Linked DNA regions of Oryctolagus cuniculus. The protein of the gene in region 2 interacts with the protein of the main gene of each other region in a pairwise test. Links are inferred from orthologs where the notes say so. Each region holds a gene or a part of one and is shown on either strand. Other genes may lie near its edges.

Evidence for each region.
Region 1: the proteins of AIDA (region 2) and PINX1 interact in binary tests that used the Homo sapiens proteins (3 or more experiments, as listed by UniProt). The link is inferred for Oryctolagus cuniculus from reciprocal best matches to the Homo sapiens genes AIDA and PINX1.

The regions. Positions count from the first base shown.
Region 1 is NC_091433.1:43,681,415-43,690,570, reverse strand, and holds the start of PINX1 (PIN2/TERF1-interacting telomerase inhibitor 1), read right to left. Parts: upstream 5,943-9,156; 5' UTR 5,800-5,942; coding exon 5,781-5,799; exon of another isoform or gene 5,737-5,780; intron 5,690-5,736; exon of another isoform or gene 3,212-5,689; intron 1-3,211. UniProt on the Homo sapiens protein: Microtubule-binding protein essential for faithful chromosome segregation. Mediates TRF1 and TERT accumulation in nucleolus and enhances TRF1 binding to telomeres. Inhibits telomerase activity. May inhibit cell proliferation and act as tumor suppressor.
Region 2 is NC_091444.1:37,042,199-37,050,615, reverse strand, and holds the end of AIDA (axin interactor, dorsalization-associated protein), read left to right. Parts: intron 1-3,748; coding exon 3,749-3,866; intron 3,867-3,992; coding exon 3,993-4,089; 3' UTR 4,090-5,813; downstream 5,814-8,417. UniProt on the Homo sapiens protein: Acts as a ventralizing factor during embryogenesis. Inhibits axin-mediated JNK activation by binding axin and disrupting axin homodimerization. This in turn antagonizes a Wnt/beta-catenin-independent dorsalization pathway activated by AXIN/JNK-signaling.

The DNA.
Region 1 (9,156 bases), on a different chromosome or scaffold from region 2:
CAGGAAGGAATGGGGAGAAAAGAAAGAAGAGAATATAATTCTATTAAAAAAGCTAGGCTGGTGCCACGGCTCAATAGGCTAATCCTCCACCTGCGGCGCCGGCACACCGGGTTCTAGTCCTGGTCGAGGTGCCGGATTCTGTCCCGGTTGCCCCTCTTTCAGACAGCTCTCTGCTATGGCCCGGGAGTGCAGTGGAGGATGGCCCAAGTCCTTGGGCCCTGCACCTGCATGGGAGACCAGGAGAAGCACCTGGCTCCTGGCTTCAGATCAGCGCGATGCACCGGCCGCGGCGGCCATTGGAGGGTGAACCAACGGCAGCAGATGATGGCCCAAGTACTTGGCCCCTCCCAGCCATGTGGGAGACTAGGACAGAGTTCCTGGCTTTGGCCTGACTCACACCTGTTGCAGCCATCTGGGTAGTAAACCAGCAGATGGATCTGTCTGTCTGTCTGTCTTTCCCTCTCTATCACTCTGGCCTTTATAAATAAATCTTAAAATTAAAAAAAAAAAAAACTGGTATGAGTTTCATTTTTTTAAAAAAATATGTTATTTATTTGAGAGGCAAAGCTATAGAAAGAGGAAGAGACAGAAAGAAATGTCTTCCATCTGCTCGTTCACTCCTGAGATGGCCACAACAGCTGGAGCTGGGCCAATCCAAAGCCAGGAGCCAGGAGTTTCTTCTGGATCTTCCACGTGGGTGTATGGTCTCAGGCCTTTGGGCCATCTTCTGCCGCTTTTCCAAGCCATAGCAGAGAGCTGGATTGGAAGAGGAGCAGCTAAGACTAGAACTGGTGCCCATATGGGATACCGGCACCACAGGTGGAGGCTTAGCCCATTATGCCACAGCACCGGTCCCCATCAAAGTATTTTTTGAAAATATTAATCCTGGACAGATGTTCAGGATTAGGATTCCTTGGGTTTTTTTTGTTTGTTTGTTTTTAAGATTTGTTTATTTATTTGAAAGGCAGAGTTAGAGAGAGAGGGAGAGACGGAGAGAGATCGTCCATCCATGGTTCACTCTCCAGGTGGCCACAGCAGCCAGGGCTGGGCCAGGCTGAAGCCAGGAGCCAGGAGGTTCATCTGTGTCTCCCACATGGGTGCAGGGGTCCGAACACTTGGGCCAAAGTGATGTCCTCCACTGCTTTCTCAGGTGCTTAGCAGGGAGTTGGACTGATACCCTATGGGATGCCAGCGTCACAGCTTGGGGAAAAGCTACACCACAGCTAAAGCACTTTTTTTCTATGTATATAAATAACAGACCATAGGGTCTCAAGTTAATCACTGCAGTCTGAAGGAAAATTATGGCAGACAGAAAAAATCTAAAAAGTTCACAAAACAAGAATATGAGCCCTCAAAGTTCACAAAAGAATATGAGCCCTCAAAGCCAAGCACGGCCAAGTGAGAACGTGGAGGCGGAGCATCATCCTCACTCGCCTCCTGCCTCAGTGTAAGCACGCCACCTCACTCTGGACAGCCTGCTCCTGGGCAGTCTCATAATTAAAAAACAGCATGTCCTCTGGGCAAAGGGACTCACTGTGCTACAGGTAAAATCAGAGGCCCCTAACTACCCACGTCCTAGCAAGAATAAGACACGCTTTACCAGCGTTAGGCAGAAAAAGCCACTTAAAAGCAACAAGCTGGACTCAAATTTATGGCGTTGTCTAGGGAAAGGTCTCCCAGAAATGCTCCTCCGGGTAAGCTACCGCTTCATGTGGGCAAATAGGCGGCGCAACACGGGCCCTGCCGCTGCACGTCTGCGGAGCTCTGCCTAGCCGATGACCAGGGTCCTACGTGGTAGCTGGCTATGGGTGTGCCAGTGTTCAAGTCTCCATACAGTGCTTGTCCGGGCACTCTGAGGCTTGTCTAAGGCAGAGGGTTGAGAATGACCAAGCCCATCCTCTACTGTTGTTCCTAACAGTCCACAGCACTTCCGTGAGACACTGGCGACCAAAGGAGGAGGAGCTTTGCGTTAAAGTAAGAAGCTGTAGGGCCAGGCCAGCGCTGTGGCGCAGCAGGTTAAAGCCCTGGCCTGCAGCGCAGGCATCCCACATGGGCAGCCGGTTCAAGTCCCAGCTGCCCCACTTCCGATCCCGCTCCCTGTTAATGTGCCTGGGAAAGCGGTAGAGGATGGCCCAAGTCATTGAGCCCCCGGACCCTCATGGGAGACCCAGAAGAAGCTCCTGGCTCCTGGTTTCATCAAATCAGCTCAGCTCCTGTCATTGTGGCCATTTGGGGAGTGAACCAGCAAATGGAAGACCTACCTCTGTCTCTACCTCTCCCTGTAATTCTGTCTTTCAAATAAATAAATCTTAAAGAAAAGAAAAAAAAAAAAAAGAAGCAATAGAGCATGCAAATATGCAGATGCAGACCCTCCCAGAGGAGGGTGAGGCAGCCATGCCCTGATTTCTGACGGGAACCACATTTCCCAGGGATGTGTCCTGGCTTTGGTGTCACCTACATTTCCAGGAAAACAATTCTTAGCAAGAAGACAATCCCTGGTCCCTTCCAACTGGACTGCCTTTTACCTGTGCCTCGTTATTCCAGTGCCAGGGTCTGCTCTGTGCTCAGCTATGGGACAGAGCTAACACAGCAGTCCTGACTTCTACCCTTTGAGAGCCTTGCTTACAATGCTGGCCCTTTCCTGGGAACTTGATTTCAGAAGTGTTCCCCATTCACAGAATGGATGCGAGTGGCCTGTTTTTATGAGCAATTCAGTTTATGTTGACCACCTGTTCTTCTGGAAGTCTAGAATTTGGGTACATTCCAGGCCAACACTGCCTCCGTGAACCACTCCCTGGAAAAAACTCTGAACATGGAGAGTCGAGTGAGCATCCCTGGTTGACAAAATTCCTCATGTACTGTCACAGACTGCTCCTGCGGGCATCAAGTACATGGTGTGTGACTCCACTCCGAGAGGACTCTGGAAGCTTGTGCCTGGTCTCCAGTGGGCTGTGCCCACCTGTCTTGGGCTTGCACCGATGTTGCTCTGTTACCCTTCAGCTATGAATCTTAGCCATGTGACCAGCAAGTCAGTGAATGTGGGGGTGGCCTTGCAGACTCCCACACAACCTGGAACAGCAGTGTAGAGACAGCACTGGCCCCGGGGAGGGTCCTGAATCACAGATTTGGGATGATGTTTTTAACTGTGCTCTGGCAGGAATCCCTCCTACTCGGAGTCCTAACTGGGATGCATTTAGGGTGGCCCCAGTACCTAAGCCTCCATTCAGCAGTTGCAAGGGACATCACTTTTCAGTCACTCCGTGCCTGGTACTGCATGGCTTATGCAAAGACCAAGCTCGTTCTCAAGGCTGCTCTGCATCTCAAGAGCCAGGGACAGGCGTCTTCTTATTTTTCCAGACATTTTCAGATATTCAAGAACTCAAAATATATATCACAGATGTGTTCTTGTTGAAAAATTATTCAAAACACATTCAAGACTGAGGAAACTGCAACATAAAATTTTAAGGCAAAGAGCAACAAAACTCATTAGTGTTGTGGTCTGATTAGAAACGTATTGATTGCAAGTGTCAGGAATTGGTCTTAAAAAGGAGCGTATATGAAAAAAGAACTATCAACACACCATCTGGATCGAAAACAGCAAATTACATACACAATTTGAAGGTGAGAAATGAAATTCTTGCCTAACACAGGGGGAAGTTTGTTTATTTCCTGTCTTACGCATGGGAGAGACAACAAAACAGCATCTGGTAATTAAAGAAACACAGGCTAGGGGCTGGCACTGTGGCACAGGGCAGGTTAACGCCCTGGCCTGAAGCGCCAGCATCGCATATGGGTGCCAATTCCAGTCTCAGGTGCTCCTCTTCTGATCTAGCTCTCTGCTATGGCCTGGGAGAGCAGTGGAGGGTGCCCCAAGTCCTTGGGCCCCTTCCCCCATGTGGGAGACATGCAAAGGACATAGCATGTTTAATGAGGGGAAAATGTTCATTGTCTAATGCTAAGTAGCTGAAAAAAATAGAATACAAACTTGAATTACAGAATGACACGTTTTATAAGGTATCAGAGAAGAATTAACTGCTGGGCAGTGAACTCGCGCGTCTGCAATGTTTCTATTTCCTCTAAAATGAGAACACCAGGGCTGGGTGTTCGGTGCAGCAGTAACGCTGTCATTTGGGACAATGCTCCACTCCTGATTCCAACTTCCTACTGATGCACATACACCTGGGAAGGAGCAGGCGATGGCTCGGGTTGAGCCCCTGCCACTCATGCGGGACCCCTGAACTGGGTTTCCAGCTCCTGCCTCGGGCCTGGCCTGGCCCCAGCATCTGAAGAGTACCAGCAGATGCGAGCTCTCCAGTCTCTCCCCTGCATAACAGATAAAATAGAAACACCAATCCTAAACATCTTATCGCAGGGGATGCTGTAAAATAAATTCAGAAAATTATGAAAAAAGACAACTCAGAAGATTATACATCATCACGACAAAAATTTGGAAAACTTGGAATAACAGTTGGAGAAGAGAACCGAAAAACCCTCTTCAAGAGCGTGCAATCTGACTTACTAACATCTACAAATAGCACGTCACACCGGATACTGTGTTCATGTAACCACTTCATTAGTTTTTCAGCCAATCCAGGGAGAAAGTGATCAGAGAAACCATCAAGGAAACACACATAAATGAACAGCAGAGCCAGAGCCAATGTTTGCAAACGCAGGCTAAATGAAGCCCCCAGCAAAGGTTCACCAAGGACATGAAGAAATAACAGCCCACAGGGTCACCATCTAAAACACATTCCTTCCTATGAGTTCCCGTTTCAAAAGAGAAAATCGCTGGTCTTAGTGGCTAGAATGTAAAAATATAGACACAACTGCATCAGCTTTGCCACTTTTCAACTCAATGACTTGAGGCAAATCACTTTCTTCTGAATCTCAATTTCGGACGGAGCCTGATTTCATTCATCTGGTGCTCCTGGTCCTTAGGTGGTTCCTTACCTAATAGGCTACTGAGAACACTTATCTCACAAAACCCCCCGTACGGCTGCTGTTGGCCTGCTAACAGGGCTCGCTACACCGCTTTAGAAAGTTAAGCGCCAGCTTTCTGCGGCCGAAGCAAGACTGCCATCTGGCGGTGAGCAACCTTACTTTCAGCTATCGTGCAGAAGGGAGTTAAAGGACTTCTCTCCAGAAAGCGGAGTTTAAACGTCAAACGCACACTGAGGCAGTATGGGATGCTGAAGCTAAACCGCTAGTTATGGAACAATTCTAACCAAACCAAAACTGCCACAGTCTTAGAATCACTGCCTTAAGCCTGCACCGCCGCCGCCACCTGCCTGCCTCCCTGTCGCCCCCAAATACTAATTTCCTGTGCCAGTGGTTCTAACCCTTTAGCTTCTTTTTCTGGGTCCAACACGTCTTTAACAACAGGATTTCACTGCCTGGAGCGAGCCCTCTAACCCAACCTCCGTTTTTTATGCTGAAGAAGCTGAGCTCCGGGGAAGTGAAGCCTCAACCAGTGTCCCCACGACCGAAGGAGGCAGGGCCAGTTCCGGGACCCGGGGTCCTGACTTCCTCTGGAACCCGCCGCACGCGCCCCAGCTCTGAGTGTGCGGACAGGTCTCGAGGGGACCTCGCAGTCAAAGAGAAAGCAGACCGGCGGGTCGACTTTCGGGGCGAGCCAGAGATCGGATCGCCAGAGCCCAGCCTCTGATACCCCTGCCTCGCTGCTAGCCGGCCACCCACGTGCCCGCCCCTCCGGGCGTCCTGCGGGTCACCCAGCACCTTCACCCTCGCGCCCAGGTCGGGCCTCTGCGTTCTACACTCACGCTCCGCCAGCATCGACATGTTGCACAGCCTGTGACGTCCGCGCCTCCAGACCTGGAGACCGTGGCTGCCCGGTGCCGGCTCCGGAAGAAACTAGAAGTGCACAACTCTCACGCCGGGCAGTCGGCAGCCGCCCGGACGCATGCTGTTGGCGTCATCGGCGTGCGCCTCGCGCCCGCGACCACGTAGCGGAGGGGCGGGGCATCTTGGAGCGCGGGCGGAGCGACGAGGCTGGGGGCGGGAGCGCGGGAGGCGGAGAGAGGCGGTGCCTCGGTTGGCTTGAGCAGGTGAGCCACCTGAGGCTGGTTACACGCAGGGCTTGGTTGCATCTCTACGCGCTGAATGTCAACATGGTGCCTACTGGAAAGAAGACCTCCGGCCCTTGTAGCCAATTGGGAAGTGAGCCATCGGATGGAAGACTCTCTCTGCCCCTCCTCTCTCTGTGTAACTCTTTCAAATAAAAAATATATATATTAAAAATAAAAAAGACCTGGGCTCCACCTCCCAGCAGCTCGCCGTCTCAGAGGGCAAAGGGTTGGAGAAACTTGGCTGTGGTGCCCCACTTCTGGCCTCTGATACAGATGATAGATTGCATTAGGTGTGACTGGGTCCAGTATCTTTCTGTCCGCCTGTCTGTGGGATCCCAAGCTAAGCAGATACCTAATTCCCGGGGCAGGGGGGTGTCTCTGTCTAAACACCGGGGTGCCTTCACCAAGACAAAGGTTTTTACGTCTTTTCTCCCGGACAAGGTACACACTGGAGCTATGGTTTTGTCATCTCCACCTCTGTATCCTTGCCGGTATCTAGTCTGAGTCTGGTGGGGGCGCCATGTTTGCTTATGAACTTATTAAAGCACTCTCGTGTCTAGAGGAGTTCTAATCAACATGTCGGGCAGACAGGAAGGACTTGGTTTTAGACAGTCGTCTGTCCGTGAACTTCAGGTGGCAGGCGGAAGATGAAAACAGTACTGCCCAGGTGCCAAGAGCAGCTACGTTTGTTCTAAGTGAAACTCGGCGCCTAACTAGGAGTTTAGACAAACAACGCCAGCTTCTCTGGTTTTCTGGAAGTTAGAAGGAGGAAAGAACTGAAAGGGGTCAGAGGAGGCAGAGTGAATGGAATCTTCCCAGGCGAGGAGGGAGACTCCAGCAGGGTGCTGTCCTTAGGACGGCAGGATTACACACGTGGTGGGATCCGGGCAAGCCATTTTATTTCTACTAGAGGAAATGGACGATAGTTACCCTGCATGGAGGACACTGAGTTAGCACGCCTGTGCTTCGCACATGTTAGTCTGTGATTCCAGGAAGGTAGTTTTGATTCAAAGAGGAGCGGGAAGATTGGTGCAGAAGTTGCCGTGGGCCAGGTGACAGGCCTGTGATCCTGGGGGGCACTGCGAGTGTTGGGTGATGAAGATGTTGCCAGCCCTGGAGATGCGGTGAGCACTCTGCCCCGGGCCTGGAGATGCGGTGAGCACTCTGCCCCAGGCCTGGAGATGCGGTGAGCCGTCTGCCCCGGAAGTGCTCACTCAGAGCCATGGGGAATGATGCACACTGGACTCCGTCTTCGTGTGAACGCAGGATGGACTAAAGGTCTCCAATGCTTGTTCCAGTTCGTCATTCCCCTGTGCCTAAGAAGTATCCATGAGGATTATCTACTGAAGAGATGAGGTCTGGAATTTTTACACAATAACAGAATCTTACTTATATTTTGGATGATCGGCTCGGATCAGAAATCGCACTTTTTAAAGGCGATTCAGATAACACACGGAGTCTCCGCTCCAGTCTCTTGGAGGACTCCCTCGGGCCTTGCTTCCCCGTCATGGATGTGCCCGTGGGTCGCTCGGAAACCTTGCGAAAATATGTGTTCTGGGTGGGCGGGTCTGGAGCGAGCCTGAGGCTGTGCTCTGGCAACAGGTGTCTGAGGGCGCAGGTGCTGGGGAGCTGCAGCCCCCTCTGTGTGCTGGGCCATGACACCATCAACGGTGTGCGAGATGGTGGGGTTACAGTACGCTCTCTTTCCTGTTTAACTGAAGGTCTGGATGAAGAACACCTGTAGACGGCAGTGACAGACTCAAAGAACTGAACCTGGCACACGCTTATGTCAGTCCTCTGAGCTACTTCCCTGCCTTCAGGCAGGTAACGCCCAGCATCAGGAACCGATGCTTGCTACTTCGGTTCTGAGCTGTCCAGTGAGTGTGAATGATTCTCCCTCCCCCTCTCTCTGGCCCCCCTACACACACACAGCCCTACTCAGGGTGTTAGTCTGTTAGAGCTGCCATAACCAAATACTACAGACTGGGTGGCTTAACCAACAGTAATTGGCTTCGCACAGTTCTGGAGTATAGAAGACCAAAATCTGGGACTGGTGCCGTGGCTCACTTGGCTAATCCTCTGCCTGCGGCGCCGGCACCCAGTATGGGAGCCAAGTTCTAGTCCCGGCTGCTCCTCTTTCAGTCCAGCTCTCTGCTGTGGCCCGGGAGTGCAGTAGAGTATGGCCCAAGTCCTTGGGCCCTGCACCCGCATGGGAGACCAGGAAGAAGCACCTGGCTCCTGGCTTCGGATTGGTGCAGTTTGGCCGTGGCGGCCATCTGGGGGGTGAACCAATGGAAGGAAGACCTTTCTCTCTGTCTCTCTTGCTGTCTAACTCTATCTGTCAAATAAAAAAAAAAAAAGTCCAAAATCAAATGGCGAGCCTGCCTCGTTGCTGGTGAGGCTGTCTTCCAGGCATATACGTTCATGCTGTGCTCACCTGACCTCTTCTTGTGTGTGCTGAGGGGGGCAGGGACACAGGGAAAGAGAGAGACAGGGAGGGAATGCAAACAAATGCTGTAGCCTCCTCTCTTAAGACTTATGTATTTATTGGAGAAGCAGAGTTACTGACAGAGAGAGGGACAGAGAGAGAGAGAGAGGTCTTCTATCTGTTGGTTTGCTTCCCAAATGGCTGCAACAGCCAGAACTGAGCCGATCCGAACTCAGGAGCCAGGAGCTTCTTTTGGGTTTCCCACATGGGTGGGACTTCGGCCATCTTCTACTGCTTTCCCAGGCCATAGCAGGGGGCTGGATTGGAAGAGGAGCAGCCGGGACACCAACCTGCACCCGTATGGGATGCCGGTGCTGCAGGTGGAGGCTTAACCTACTGCACCACAGCGCCAGTCCTGGTGTCTCTAATACTCCTGTCAGAACATTAATTCTATTAGATTAGGGTCCCACCCTTATGCCTTCATTTAACCTACGTGACCTCCAAGTTGCAGGTCCAAATACAGGCGCCCTGGGAGTTAGGGCTTCAGCATGCTAATTTGGGAAGGGATTGTGCATTCCATCGTCAATAATTACAAAGCTGGGAAAAATACCTGAAAGAATGGTTTTCCAACATTGGGCACAT
Region 2 (8,417 bases):
TTCTTTCTTTCTCTCTCTCTCTCTCTCTCTCTCTTTCTTTCTCTCTTTCTTTCTCTTTCTCTTTCTCTCTCTCTCTCTCTCTCTCTTTCTCTCTTTCTCTCTTTCTCTCTTTCTTTCTTTCTTTCTTTCTTTTTGACAGAGTGGATAGAGAGAGAGACAGAGAGAAAGGTCTTCCTTTTGCCGTTGGTTCATCCTCCAATGGCCGCCACGGCTGGCGCGCTGCGGCCAGCGCACCGCGCTGATCCAAAGCCAGGAGCCAGGTGCTTCTCCTGGTCTCCCATGGGGTGCAGGGCCCAAGCAGTTGGGCCATCCTCCAATGCACTCCCTGGCCACAGCAGAGAGCTGGCCTGGAAGAGGGGCAACTGGGAAAGAATCCGGTGCCCTGACCGGGACTAGAACCCGGTGTGCCGGCGCTGCTAGGTAGAGGATTAGCCTAGTGAGCCTGGACCTGTTTTCAAACGTGCGTTTCTTTTCACGTTTGTTTAGACCTCGGACAGGATCATGTTAAGATGGGTCTCATATCTGAGAAGATTAAGTAATGTGATCTGTCTTTAAAATTTCTGATGGTTTTAAATAATCAAATACTCTCGTACTGCTGTGGGAGGGAGAAGAGAGCCCCCTCTCGTGGCTGTGGCAGGTCATCCACCTAGGAAAGAGTTCACCAGTGACCTAACTGTTGTAAGCCTGTGTGTTTCGAGCAGAGACTCTCCCTCACTTACCTTTCATTGTCTCCCAAGGGACTGGTTTTTCTTTCCTTTTTTTTTTTTAAGATTTGTTTTATATTTATTTGAAAGAGATGGGGAGGGAGAGACAGATTTTTCATCTACTAGGTCGCACCCCAAATGGCTGCAATGGCCAGGGCTGGGCCAGACCAAAGCCAGGAGCTTTGTCCAAGTCTCCCACTTGGGTGCAGAGGCCCAAGCATTTGGGCCATACTCTACTGCTTCCCCAGGCACATTAGCAGGCAGCTGGATCAGAAGTGGAGTAGCAGCAGGGACTCAAACTGGCGCCCATATGGGATGCTGGCATTTCAGATAGCAGCTTAACCTACTATGCCACAATGCAGGCCCCCTGGTTTTAATTTCCATTTTTGCCAGGTGAGGTGCTTGGTTTGGACCTCAGTGCTAGGGCTGTACATGCATTTCTGAATGTTGTTGAACTTCTGGTCACTTATGAGTTTTACTACCACTCAAAGGATTAGGTATATATATGTTGACTGTCTTTAAAAGCCAAGATCTAGCACCTTTCTTGCAGTGACTCTTCCTTTTCACCGCCAGAGAATTAGGCAGGCTGCCTACAGCCTGTCTTGGCTGAGGAGGGGAAGTGCGCCACCCGCCACTCAGCCTCCCTGAACCCAGGGGACAATCAGGCACAGCGGGGAATCCAGTCGAAGCAGGATCTCACTTTATTGTAAAAGGGAGGTGTTTATAAAGCTGCAGTACAGAGCAGATGCGGGCAAGGGGTGAGCTGATGTGACGCAAAAGGGTTTTAGCCACTCCTGTTATACCACCTCAGTGATCCTTAGGCAAAGCGCCCTGGGACTGGGTTGTTTACCCCCAGGGATTTGAAACTTAAAGACAGATCTTCAAACTCGAGGCAGGCTTAGGAAGTTCTAGGCCTCTCCGGATCCAGCCTCTCCCACACTTTCTGGTTACATGGACATATTAGAAATAGCCAGTTAAGGCCGGCGCTGTGGCTCACTAGGCTAATCCTCCGCCTTGCGGCGCTGGCACACCGGGTTCTAGTCCTGGTCGGGGCCCCGGATTCTGTCCCGGTTGCCCCTCTTCCAGGCCAGCTCTCTGCTGTGGCCCGGGAGTGCAGTGGAGGATGGCCCAGGTGCTTGGGCCCTGCACCCCAATGGGAGACCAGGATAAGTACCTGCCTCCTGCCATCGGATCAGCGCGGTGTGCCAGCTGCAGCGCGCCGGCCGCGGAGGCCATTGGAGGGTGAACCAACGGCAAAGGAAGACCTTTCTCTCTGTCTTTCTCTCTCACTGTCCACTCTGCCTGTCAAAAAAAGAAAGGAAAAGAAAAGGAAAAAAGAAAAAGCCAGTTAAGAGTAAGACCCTGACTTTCATCAGTTTCCATGCCTTCCTTTTTTTTTTTTTTCTTTCTTTTCTTTTTTTTTTTTTTTTTTTTTTTTTGACAGGCAGAGTTAGTGAGAGAGAGAGAGAGAGAGAGAAAGGTCTTCCTTCCGTTGGTTCACTCCCCAGATGGCTGCTACGGCAGGAACTGTGCAGTTGGGCCATCCTCCACTGCGGAGGATTAGCCAAGTGAGCCATGGCGCCGGCCCGTCCATGCCTTCTTTAGAAATTAATTGTTCCTGGGCCCGCAGCTCACTAGGCTAATCCTCCACCTGCTGGCTTTGGAGTGCCGGTTCTGTCCTGGTTGCTCCTCTTCCAGTCCAGCTCTCTTCTGTGGCCCGGGGGGGGGGGGGGGGGCAGTGGAAGATGGCCCAAGTGCTTGGGCCCTGCCCCCGCATGGGAGAGCAGGAGAAGCACCTGGCTCCTGGCTTCAGATCGGCATAGCGCACTGGCCACAATGTGCCAGCCTTAGCAGCTACTTGGGGGGCAAGCCAACAGAAAAAGGAAGACCTTTCTTTCTCTCTCTAACTCTGCCTGTAAAAAAAAAAAAATTTAATTGTTCCTGGCTACTCTAGTGAGAGGCAGTTTATCTCTCTTTTTAGCTTTTTTTTCCTGCAGGGGTGGGATGAGAGCTTATCTCTTGGGCTTTGGGGACATAGAACTGTCTGATTTTTTTCATTATCACTAGTTCACTGGAGGAGAATGAAATAGGCTTGCCTTTGAGACCTGTTCCTTTCATAGATGCATGTATGTCATTACAGGTGGGAAAAGCCAAAAGCCGGTGCTTTACACACTGCAGAATGCAGTAGGAAACTCGTAACTTTATAACTGAACCAGCATGTGACTAATGTTTGAACTCCTAACACCCCCAAAACAGAATTTTTGAGTTTTTATTTCAAGAGGAAGAAAAATGGTTCAGACCTGAATTTTTTTTAGGAACTCTTAGAAATGTCTTTTCCACTTATGAGTTTCAATGGGTATTGCTAATACTTGACAAGGATTTTCTTGTGGTATTTCATATTTTACATTTAGTGGTTTATATACGTTCTTGGGTCACTATAGCTGGCTTTAGTGGTTCATATACATTTTGTTAAAGATTTTTTTTTTTTGAGAGCTAGTTACAGATGGAATGACAGAGAGAAAGGTCTTCCATCTGCTGGTTAAATCCCCAAATGGCCACAACAGCAGGAGCTGGGCCGATTGGAAGCCAGGAGCTTCTTAGGTCTCCCACATGGGTACAGGGGCCCAAGTTCTTGGGCCATCTTCCACTGCTTTCCCAGGCCATAGCAGAGAGCTGGATCAGAAGAGGAGCAGCCAGGACATGAACCGGTGCCCATATGGGATGCTAGTGCCACAGGCAGAAGCCTAGCCTGCTAGACCACAGTGCTGGCCCCCATATACATTCTTGAGTCAGTGTAACTTGGGGAGCTTTTGCTGTACTGTATAGAGTTGGTTGATGTGTGGAAATGTCATACTACTCAGATTCAGAAGTCTGAGGTGACAGCCATGAGCCATCATTAGAGCCTATTTGACACAGCTTACGTTGTAAACTTAGGAAAACCATTGCTTGCTGAAATGCTTCTGGTGGTCAAAAAACCCACTTAATTCACACATAAGAAATGTGCTGTCTTGGCTTATGTGGTTTATTTTGTTTCATTACTTTAGGTGCAGCTATCTTCTTTGAATTCAAACACTACAAGCCTAAAAAAAGGTTTACCAGCACCAAATGTTTTGCTTTCATGGAGATGGATGAAATTAAGCCTGGGCCAATTGTAATAGAGCTGTAAGTCTGTACTCATTTAATGGTGACTGCTATGTTGGTTTTCCTAGTCCCTGTATCCTTGGACTCAAAAGTATTTAATCCATCCTCAAAGCATTTTAAACAATGATCTTTCTATTGTGGTTACAGATACAAGAAACCCACTGACTTTAAAAGAAAGAAATTGCAATTATTGACCAAGAAACCACTTTATCTTCATCTACATCAAACTTTGCACAAGGAATGATCCTGACATGAATAACCTGGAACTTCTGTGAATTTTGCCACTTGTTAGAAACCATCACAGCTCTGTGTAGCATATTCACCCTTCAGAAGGCAGAAAGCAAGCTGTACCCGTGCCAGTAGGCCAGAGTGAGTCCACTGCAAAGCTGTACCACAGAATTCAAAGTCTAGCACATCACTGATGTATAAGACTCCTTTGGATACAGGTTTATTGTAGATTTGAAAACATATTTTTACTTTTCTATTGTGCAATTAATAGTCTGTTTTCTAAGTTACCACTACTCCTACCCTGCTTCCTGGAAAAATACTGTTGTGGGTAGGTTTGCTCATCTTCGAACTTAATACAGCAATAAGAATGTGCTAGAGTTTACATACACATCTGTTCACTTTTGCTCCAATATGCTCTTTTGGTTTGAGTTAACTTCAAACTTTGGGTTGAGGTGGGTAGAATAGTATCAAACTACTTTAAGAGAAAATGGACCAGTTATGCTGCCTAAGAAGGTCTGTCTGCAGATGATAGGCTGCTCCTTTGAGGTGGCCTACATTCACCTGATCTGATCGTTTTCTTGCTTAGAAATAGTGTGCCTTGGCCAGATCAGTACCCCGTGTGGGAGTGTTTCCCAGGTTGTAGCTGTGAGTTTTTCCAGATGACCAGATTGTTTTTCTGAAAGTGAGCATACTTTTAATCATGTTGATTAGATATTCTTCTGTATCACGTTGTTATTCTTTCTGATAACAATTCTAGGGTTAACATTGGAACCATCTCAGAATTAAATTTTTAGATGGGTTCACAATGTCTTCCAAATAATGTAATCTAAAAATAGCTGAGTCAGATGCTAACAAGATATTGCAGGAACAACTGCTGTTTTCTGACAACTGATTGTGAAATCTTCAAACCTGCATATCTCTTCTTATAGTGATGAGTATGCAAAATCTGGAAAGATATTCTATTTTTTTTAATATAGATAGATAGGATTGCCATTTATTTCCTATTTAGATATATTGGAATTCATCCATATGAGAATATGCAGGTCATTAGCTTATTATAATTTTACTATTTACATTTCTTTTGACTTAATGGGGCATAAATAAAATTTTCATAGTACACATGAGGTGGATATTTGATACACAGAACATTAAAATTTGTGATGGGCTCTCTGTGGGTTAGATATAGAACCCATGTATTTTAATATTCACTATTTTAATGAACAATGCATGAGGGGAATGCAATTTCAGTACTTGGCCTATTTTTAAACTAGTGTAATAACCCTAGTCATGCCGATATGTTTGCTTTTTGAAGTAAGTAATCACAATTAAGTTGTTTTAGCCCTTGCACTTCAAGAGATCTAGTCTTTACTTTCAGTTGTCTGTTAGGTCAATTCTGTTTATTAGTTGGATATTAATAAAGACTATATGAGCCTGAAAGAATTCTCAACCAAGTTTAGTCTTGTCTCTCATCTTGATTGGATTAATTCCAGATTCTCAAGTAACTCAATCCACAGTAGGGCTAGAGGATGAAGAATTTGCCTTAAGGAATTCTTTTTGTCAAATCCCCAAACTGTAAGCTCTTCAAGGAGCAAGAACAGTATTTCCTCCATGTCACACACATTTCCCTAGGTGCTTGGCAGCACTCTGTACCCTGTGGAGTACTCAGTACCTGTTTGATGTTGCTGATGAGACCTAAAATAATCCCTTAAAAATCCTACTATTAAAATGTAGCAAAACTGATACATTGTTCTTTCTCTTTTCTCATGATCATAAGATGTGTATCAAAGTGGTAATTTATATATAAAGAAGCATCTGCTGTCCTGCACTTAAGTATGGTTTATATGAACTACAAATGCCTTTCATCAGTTATTAAAGAAGCTTAAATTGAACACCGTGTGATTAGTTTAGCTTTAATTCAGACCTGAATGAAATGACAAAAAGAGTGATTATCTTGGAGCAGTTGACACAGAGTGTTCCACATCCCACAAATTATTTGTATGCTTTCCAGTGAGGAAGAATAATCAGCCATTAACTGTAACCACACTACAATAGAAATCTTTTACATTGAAATACTGCTGCTTCATAAATGAGACACTTTTAGCAACTAAACCCAGAAACACAATTAGCTAGAAATGACTTCTGAAACAGTTGTAATAATTTTGGAGATGGCAAAGTCTGACTTAACTGAGGACTGGTATTCCCTAAGCCACTTGTACATTAGCAGCTCACTCTGCTCTGACCCTTGCGGCAGAGATACGGTGCCATCAGATGGATGTGAAAGGCAGCAACTGTGGACTGACTCAGAACTGCTCAGGTAGGCTACACTGGAATCTCTTCACAGCTTACTGATTTTTTTAAACAAAATGAGATGGAAAAAACCTTTATTTTCAATGAAAAAACATTTTATTTACCTTTCCAACTTGATTATCTTCCTGGCTGGCAAAATCTATACTTAAAGGCCATTTAAAACTAGAAATTCTATTATCAGCATTATTGTGTGTCCTTAAAGAGATTAAGAGAGATCCAGAAGTTCTGTTTTTGACTTAATCTTCATTTATCGGGGGTAGGGGACCTTTCTTCTGCCAAGGGCCACCTGGGTATTTCTAATATAATTCACAGGCCATGCAAATTTATCAACTTAAAAATTAGCCTGTTATAGATTTACTGAATTTCAAGTCCCACTTGACCAAATGATTTTGTGGGCCTTATACAGTATGCGGGCTGGATGTTCCCCAACTCTGGTTTACATGGTTAAAATGACCTCTGCTATTTCTGTGGAGTTTTCCTCTTAGATTTAATTTCTTCTATTGTTGATATTAAATAGGATGTTTAATAGTTTTCCTGAAGAACTCAGGTATTTCTTATGAACTTTCTTTTAAAGATTTATTTATTTAAAAGGTAGAGATCTTTCATCTGCTGGTTCACTTCCCAAATGGCTGCAATGATTGAAGCTGGGCCCATCCAAAGCCAGGAGCCAAGACCTTCCTCTGGGTCTCCCATGTGGGTGTAGGGGCCCGAGCACTTGGGCCATCTCCATTGCTTTCCTAGGCACATTAGCAGGGAGCTGGATAAGAAGTGAAGCAGCTGGAATTGGAACCAGCACCTAATGTGGGATGCCAGTGTTCTAGACAGCAGCTTCACCCACTATGCCATAGTGCTGGCCCCTTCTTTATGAACTTTGAAAGTGTTACCTTCTTTCAAAGGTTCTCATCTTTTAGACTACTGTTTTCCATAGTTTAGGATAAAGAGATGATTTTTTTTCACAGTGAAAGTTTTGTTCCATTGTACAGAGTATTCTTAGTGGGTTAAATATCACAACAGTAACAAGTCAGGCTCCAGGTTTCAATTACGTGATAGAACTTCTGAGAGTGGCAGAACATAGTCTACCAGTAGACAAAAGTCTCAGCCTTTGGTAATTTTAATCTAAATTTTAAACCTATTAAAATGTGCCATTAAAAGTTAAAATCAAGGGGCCAGCATTGTGGCACAACAGGTTAAGCCATTACGTGTGATGCCTGCATCCCATTTGGGCACCAGTTTGAGTCCGGCTGCTCCTCTTCCAATCCAGCTCCCTGGTAATGTGCCTGGGAAAGCAACAGAGGATGGCCCAATTCCTTGGGCCCCTCCCTACACCCATGTGGGAGACCCAGATGAAGTGCCTAGCTCCTGGCTTTGCCCTGGCCCAGCCTGGCCCCCTCCATTTCGGCCATGTAGGCAGTGAACCAGTAATAAGGATCTCTGTCTCTGTCACTCTTTCAAATAAACAAAATCTTTAAAAAAAAGTCATTAAAATCTCTGAAGAGTTTGTTCTTAGAAACATTGTTTTAAAGGCACAATGTAATAATGGGCATAACACTTTTAAGTATGGTGCAATTCTAGATTCTTAGATTGATTGGTTTTTAAATTAAAGTACTAATGGTCAAATATTAACTTTGGAATAGTATGTATCAAAAAAGACGAGTTCAGCCACCAGCTGCTGACCTAGAGCATTCTATAAGCTGTTCAGTTCTAAATCATTCTTTCTCAGGTATTATACTCTTGTAATTTTTTTTCATATTCCTTGAAAATATGAAGGCACAGGAAAGATACAGACTGTACATTTTTAAAAACAAGTTTCCTTACTCTTACTGTCACACACACCATTTTTTCTGTTATGGACCCTTAAAGCAAAAATGGTAAAAAAAACAAGAGAACATCGAGTAAACCTTTCACTATTAATATAAACCCACACTCAGAAAATCATTTTCCAGTGGGCAATGAAGGTATAAGAAAGCACACAGACGCTGTACAGGTGGGATCAGTGACTTCATTGCCTTAAAAGGGAGGAATGACTTGTGAGTTTGC